Linked DNA regions of Drosophila melanogaster. The protein of the gene in region 2 purifies or fractionates together with the protein of the main gene of each other region. This does not show direct contact. Each region holds a gene or a part of one and is shown on either strand. Other genes may lie near its edges.

Region 1 (3,755 bases), on a different chromosome or scaffold from region 2:
CCGGAGTACTATCTGGAGGATTACCTGGAGGTCTGTCGCTCTGGGAACTACGAGCGCCTGGAGCAGTTCGTGCGGGAGATTGGCTTCTCCGCCTACAGCGTTGGCCAAATGATGGAACAGTTCGTCGAGTTCATTGTCCATCATCCGGGGCTGAATGATCCGCAAAAGGCCACGATCTGCGATAAGCTGGGCGTACGTACTGACTGCATAGATAGATATGATTCCTCTTGTTTATTGCTGCCTTTATCCCACAGGAATGCTGCTTTCGACTGCAGGACGGCGGCTCCGAGTATCTGCAGATCATGGACCTTGGCTGCTGCATCATCTTAGCTTTAAAGTAATCTCATCCCACTCAGCACATTCATTACATGTACTTTATCCGCGACTGGAGTCTAAAATAAATGTTATATTTAATATGAAAATCTGGTAGTTGTATTTGTGTATAAAACGTAGATTTCATAATGATTAACGGGCGAATCTATACTAAGGTTTTTGGGACTTCACATTCGAGTTGAAATTTAGACCCCCAGTTCGCTCAACCAAATGCAAGTGCTTTGGTCTGGTTTAAGAATATTAATTTAAGGTAAATGATGTCGTTTCGCTAGTTGGTCACAAACTCAAACTCCTCCTCCTCACGTTCCCGCTTGACGGCCACTCCAACGCCAGATGATCCTCCTCCTCCTCCTCCTCCGCTGGCACTTCCTGCTCCCGAACCGGATGCGCCAGCGATGCTGCCCACGGCCGCCGCATCGCTGTCCACCTCCATCTTGAGATCTCCGCCGGCGCCGGTGCTCTCGCTCTTAACCTCCTGACCACCGCCGCCCCCAGATCCGCCGGAGCTGCCCACCGTTTTCGTTGTCGTAGTGGTGGTAAACTTGATGACGGGCTTGGGAATGGTCACCACCTGCTGCTTGGCCACCACGGAGTGTGGCCTCTTCGGACCATTGGCGCTGGAGACGGGCTTAACGACGGTCTTCAGTGGACGGCCCTCCACCGCCGACTTGGTCATTTTCTTGGGCTGATTAGTGGCCCGCAGTTTGTAGTTGACGCCGGTGAGACAGTAGCGGTCGGGCGGCAGTCGGAGACCGCAGTGCGGCTTAATGGGTGGCAGGGGCATGCTGTTGCGCACGTCGGCCACCTTGGCTAGAACGTGGCGCTCCAACGGCCCGGTGAAGCTCTTGTCCAGCGTAACCTCGGTGGCCAGACGCACGTCGTCCAAGTCGATGGTCTTCTTGCGCGCATGGTTGGCGTACACCTTGGCGTCGTCCAGAATGCAGGTTACATAGCCTGCAATGCAAGACAGCATTTAGGAAAATGATGTGGGAAAAGCAAGGCATTAATCGCCGCTTACGGAAGGTGAACTCCAGCAGTTGGTTGACCACGCGCGGCTCGTACTCCTGGACATTCAGCTCCTTCAGGATGGACATGATCACCTGCGCGTCCTTCGGCACGTGCTTGATTTGGGCACTGATCTTGGCCTTATCGGACTTCTCTGCGCTCATACTTCTATAGTTATTATGTTTACGTCGGCTTTGCTGCAAGAAGATTGTTTATTCCATTGAAATTGTGCACGTACATATATACGGGTCTATCGGAAATCGGTGAGCTTATGCGATACTATCGATGCAGACGTCTAGTGTGGAAAACGCCGCTGGACTGCAGGGTGGCAACTCTGGCTCTGGCCATTTAAAAAAAACGGCTAAATTAGAAATCGATTTTTAAATGTAGGAACAAATCTAATGAAGCTTATCCAAAATATTAAACAATAAGCATATTTCTACCAGATCACATAACACCACATTGGCATAATAGGTGGACCAATAGGTGGAATATTAACTATCAGAAACAACAATTTCAAAATATTTCGGAATTAACGAAACGAGAACAAATGGCAGAGTGAAATGAAGACTACAATTCTGTTTAGTTTTAATAAAGTCAAAAATTTCTCTCACACGACTTGATAAGCTTATTAACAAAACTTGAATACCCCAGTTGTGGAAAAACAAAAACGAAGTCCCGCCAAAAGGAGCTAAAAACTGTTAAATTAACGTAAGAAACTTTTATTCATTAAACGTACAGCTCTACATACAATATGCACTATACTTGGAAGACAATTGAAGCTTGTCGCGCATTATTACATTCATATACATTGTACAATGAAACTTTTAGCTTAGATACATACACATATTTCTTTATTATTATTTTAGATACGCTACATGTACGTTACGTGCTACAATAAATTAACTCTTTATTGTTCCGTCTTTAAATCGCCATCTCGCCGTGGTCAACATATAAAACCATCCATCCATTCGTCTCTCTTAGATATTTGCAAAATAACGCGCAAACAATTCGCGCACCAAAAACTTGGACGCAACTTTGACTCAAGTCCCACGATCAGTTATACATACAAGCATATATATATATACTATATAGCTCTATATAGACTACAAACTAGATTCTTGTCGAAAAAAAAAATTGATGCTTTAAGTAATATTTTCATTGTCAGAATGTATGCGTTTTAAGATTTCGTTAGCGCTTGCTCTATTTTGATTACTGGGGAGGGCTACCAGGTTCCCTCCTGGTCATGATTTGTGATCTCTATGTCTCTATAACTCAATTGCAGCTGCTGGCTGAAGCTGGCTGGCCCCTTCGGGTGTGCCTCTAGTAGTTGTAGGGTCCGTACTGCGAGCCATGATAGTAAGGTCCTGGGTAGATCTGCGGCTGGGCGTAGTTGGCATAAGGGGGATAGGGTGGCTGCTTCTGCGAGTAAACTGGAAATGGAAACCGAAAATTAGTCATTAGTTATATTAGAGGGTCAGCACGATGGACATACCTGGCATCAGGTACTGCAGGTTCAGCTGCTCCTCCTTCTCCCGCTCGTTGCGCAGGCAAACGGCCGCGCCGGAGAGCAGAATGGACGCCAGGAGACAGGTTCCGATTCCTGCCCAGGCCACGATGTACGACCAGTCGTAGGCGATCTTCGTGTTGTCGCGCAGGACCTAATAAATCAAGATATTCATCATTAGTTAATCCACATACATGCCCAATGCAGCTGGTGTACATACCGTGTTCCACTGCTGGAAGTAATCCTCGCCCACGACCTTCTCCTTCTCAAAGAACTCGACGGTGTGCCAGAGTCCCATGGCGCCGGCGGCCAGGAGACAGGTGACTAGCAGCAGTATCGAGGTGGCTGTGATGGCGCCCGACGACCGCTTCCAGCAGCCGGATAATCCGGTCCAGAACGCACAGAAGATGGTCACAAAGCTGATGATGAACAGAGCGATGCAGGAGCGGGCCAAATGGAGACGCGATGTGGCGTCCTCGTTGGCGATCTTCTCGTCCTCCGCCTGCGGGAAGTAGTCGATGTTCGAGCAGTGTGTCTCGATCGGTGACAAATAGGTGGGCACTGCGCGACGGGAATGGAAATGGATTAAATAACTCCCATGTGATGTAAAATGCAGCATTACTCACCCGCTGAAACTGGCGGCCGCTCCTTGGGATAGCAGATCCGGAACAAGCCTCGTGTCCTCGTGTAGTAATAGTACTTCACGTTCATGTTGTGCAACAACGACTCCGCATCCGAGTGCTTGGCGGCAAAGGACTGAAATCGAAAGGATAGTCCATATTAGCTAAGCTCAATTGCAGTTCAAAGTTATGGTTACAAGTGTTTGAAACTATCCTATCTTAGCTCTTAGCTCTGGCCCTACCCATACTTGTCTTAATAGCCACACATTTATTTATAGCCCGCGGATTAA
Region 2 (3,755 bases):
TACTATCCGATTCGAGCGAGGAATTGAGGGGGTTTTGATTGGGGATCAGATTTGGACGAAGTGATACGCCCGAGTTGCGATCGCCTAGCGCCCGAAGAGTGGGTTTAGCTTTAATATGGATACCTGATTGATGGTCTTGGTCATGGTTACGATTCCTGCTGGTGCACTTGAGACTAGACCCGCCGGCAGGGTGACAGCATGGTGGTTGGATTTAATAACTAGGGTTTGTGTTTGGGTGGCACCTACGGATTGCGTCTGCTGTTGCTGCTGTTGTTGCTGTTGCGACTGCTGCTGCTGTTGGACATGATGCACCTGCTGAAGTCCCTGATGCTGACCACCGATCCCCGCCTGGATCGTCTTGATGGTGGTGGTATTCGGTAGCTGGGCCGTGGAGATGACCGCGCCGGGATTGCCGGCTATGCTGATGGTGCCATTGGGCAGCGGCTGGCTGGTGAAGGTGATGCGATTGCCGGCAGCTGTCTGGCTGGTGTTCATCGTGCTGTGTGGTGTTTATGTTATTGGCGAGTGTGTTTCTCCTATTCCACTGACTTCTGTGTGTTGGTGTGGGCGAGCGATCCTGTTCCGATCAACTAGTTGCGCACATCCTGTGTTGGTGTTGGCGGAGTTGTTGCATGCTGTGCGCTCCAGAAGCGAACTGCAATGCAAGGGGAGGCGCTTTTAGTATTTATACAAGATTCGGCTCGAGGCGGTGGAGAAACAGGTAGGCGGTGGAGGTGCTACCTGACCGCCGGCTACCTGGCGGCCGTGCGCCATAAACCAGATGCTGCGTACACCTGGATGCCGCGCACAGGTAATCGCATTCACCTTGGCCAAAAAAGCGGGTGCTCCGCTGAATTGGTGCTGCGCTGGCTCACTCGCACTCGCCTTTGCCGTCACTGTCGTCGGCCTTTCTCCTGGCGCATCCGTTGCAGTCGTTGTCGCGTGTGTGTTATCTCGCTAATTCGCTGCCTTTTGTTTGCGCCGCTAAGCCTTTCTACACTTTTCCCGATCGGCGGGTTTTCCTGCGCACACACACACTCGCGCGTGCTCGCACGGACTGATTGTTGAGCACTGGAAGAATGCTTTATTTTGATTATTTTGATGTACAAAAAATTTGGCAGCGACGGTGCCAGAACGCCGCCATTTTCACGAATGCGCGTGCAAAGCGAAAATCGAGGCTGGTGGACGTTGCCAGATAGCGTGCGAAAAACACGTAACCAACGATCTGGCAATGCCGCTCGTTTATGCGGGTGGCGAGTGCGCAATATTCGTGAATGCACTAAATTTAAAAAAAAGTTCAACTCGAAAGTGGAGCACTTAATAATTGATGATTTCTATTAGGAAAAATTCATATTTTTCGAAAATCCGCATAAAAATATTTAAAACAAAAAGAAAACAAATGCATCTTGTACATGTCTCCAGTGGCAATATGGAGCATCGTGCCAGCCGTAGTATTAGTAATTTCTACTTTAGTGGCCAGCGGGTGGTGGCATAAACCCACGTCCGTGTCTGTGCGACTGTGTGCGTGTGTTTCAGTATAGGTTTTGTACAGCCTGCAATGTCGGGGGAAATTTTCTGGGCCCTGTGGCAGATGCACTCACTTCAATTCATTTTGCGTTCAAACTCGGTGCACTGGGGCGCATTTTAAACGATTTCCCGTTGCGTTTCTCTGGCGATTTAGCCGAAAACCGAGTAAATATTGTTTACGGACCGCCGAGGTACGGACGAGTTGTGCAGTGTGACCGTTGGCGACAATATCGTCGTGTTAAACGCGATACCGAATTAAAATACTAGAAAAGAAGTAGTGACTTGGATATCATGTCGATTTTTTATAGCCTTGTTGCGTACATTTTCAAAACCAAAAACGTTTGCTGGCATTTTGATGCCATCGGATTTTAGCCGCATACCAAATTAATTATATGCTCATTAGTTTTTATATGGGTAATAAGCCACAATTTTTAAGGATCAAAATAATTTATTTTAATACATTCGAATACGATACATTTTAAATCCTTTGAACTATTATTAGAGTACTGTTTAAAGCTGAATGTTAGGTAATTGAATAAATGAAGAATACGCTCAAAAATTAGAAACTACTAAAACTATTATTAGAGTACTGTTTAAAGCTGAATGTTAGGTAATTACAGAATTGAAGAAAATGCTCAAAAATGTTATTATTTTTTTATATTTAAACGCTATTTGCTCATATACTTAAATCATATATATATTCAAACGAAGGAGTAGTACTTTGTAACGGTCAAACAATCGATAGTTCCACTTTGATACCGAACTACATGCCCCACCACCAACGTGATGGTATTTTTGTTAGTTTTCGGTATCTTTGAAATGCTAAACTTCAGCACAACGGGCAAAATAATTCTGTAGAGCGAGTTAAATACATATCGTACAAATAGCGGTCTTAATAAAATAGACCATACCAATTTTAATATTAAACAAATTCCGTTAAATAAGCAACATATATAGTGTAATGGTATATTTTCCAAAAACTTCCAAAAATAAAAAGTGGTATTTGTTTCAAGTCGGGCTCAACATAGTATGATTATCCGATTACGCTGCGGTCACACTAGTACCGGCCCATAGAGACGGAAGAAAAATTTTATTTAACCGATTTCAGGTAATTGCCATTTGCATTAACTGTTTTTTAACCATGCACAACTAGGGCTAAAATGCCGTTGGAAAAGAGATCGCCACGTGTGCTCACTCGCATGTGGGCCAGACACGCGAAAAGTGCGTCCAAAGCTGCGGGGTAAAAATCGATAGAGAAAAGCAGATGAAAAACGGATGGGAAAGTGGTGGGGGGAGCTCCTTTCTCAACATGACGTGACTAAGACCACTTTGCTTTTACAGCTATAAACAGGCTATTACTCGGAAAGCACATATAAATTCCCGAATAAATCCGCATTCGAAGTCCCATAAATATTGACAGTCAGTCGGATAGGACAGCTAATGTAAGTAGAGCACTTGGTGGGGATGGGGGCAGGTCCAAAATGCAAATGCAAATGCCAATGGTAAACTAGTAAACCGCAGACAGATTGTCAAACAAATTCGATTTTCGTAATTGCAGCGCACCGCGACAATGGCCAACAACAACTACGCCGGGTTTAACTACGGCGGCACCCAGTACAATACGGGCCAAGTCTCGTACCCGGCGGTAACCAATGCCACCTACGCGAATGCGGCCGCCTATCAGAATGCCGCTGTGGCCGCCGGACAGGGTGGTTATGGCGGAGCAGCAGGAGCGGGCGCTGGCGCCACCTCTGGCCCTGGGGCGGGGGGTTATGGTGGCTACGGCGACTATCGAAGTGCCATGCAATACGACGCCACCAAGACATTCTATCAGCAGTCGCCGGCCAGCTACAACGCCTCCGGTTCGACAGCCTCGGTCAGCAAGACGCACTACTCGGCTCCGCCAGTCAAGAATCAGGTCAAGGGCAAGATGGACAAGTCGAACGGTGGTCCCAAGCCCCCTAGTTCGGCTCCTCCGGCGGGCAACAATTACAGTGGCTATGATACAGCACTCTACAATGCGGCAAGCATGTATGTGGCCCAACAGCATCAGGGCAATCCAAACCAAAAACCAAATGGCGGCGCCAATAACTGGTATCAGCGTAAGATGGGAGCCACCATACCAGGAGCAACGGCCATAAGGGGTATGCGTCCGAAGGCACCTCCACGTCCCCAGCAGCTGCACTACTGCGAAGTGTGCAAAATCTCGTGCGCCGGGCCGCAGACTT

The links. The genes of interacting proteins can lie anywhere in the genome.
Region 1: the proteins of Taf4 (region 2) and Taf9 purify together in Drosophila melanogaster (affinity purification with western blotting; 4 studies listed by BioGRID, with this or other methods). This does not show direct contact.

What each region holds. Positions count from the first base shown.
Region 1 is NC_004354.4:17,840,006-17,843,760, reverse strand, and holds Taf9 (TBP-associated factor 9), read right to left. Parts: upstream 1,601-3,755; 5' UTR 1,503-1,600; coding exon 1,352-1,502; intron 1,288-1,351; coding exon 602-1,287; 3' UTR 413-601; downstream 1-412. Other genes in the region: CG8142 (uncharacterized protein), read left to right, coding at 1-192, 255-341; CG6398 (uncharacterized protein), read right to left, coding at 2,662-2,771, 2,834-2,999, 3,066-3,406, 3,472-3,601. UniProt on the Drosophila melanogaster protein: TFIID is a multimeric protein complex that plays a central role in mediating promoter responses to various activators and repressors.
Region 2 is NT_037436.4:16,111,212-16,114,966, reverse strand, and holds the start of Taf4 (TBP-associated factor 4), read right to left. Parts: upstream 1,756-3,755; 5' UTR 1,602-1,755; intron 1,178-1,601; exon of another isoform or gene 1,083-1,177; 5' UTR 826-1,082; intron 660-825; exon of another isoform or gene 656-659; 5' UTR 496-655; coding exon 124-495; intron 1-123. Other genes in the region: Zn72D (Zinc-finger protein at 72D), read left to right, coding at 3,098-3,755. UniProt on the Drosophila melanogaster protein: TFIID is a multimeric protein complex that plays a central role in mediating promoter responses to various activators and repressors.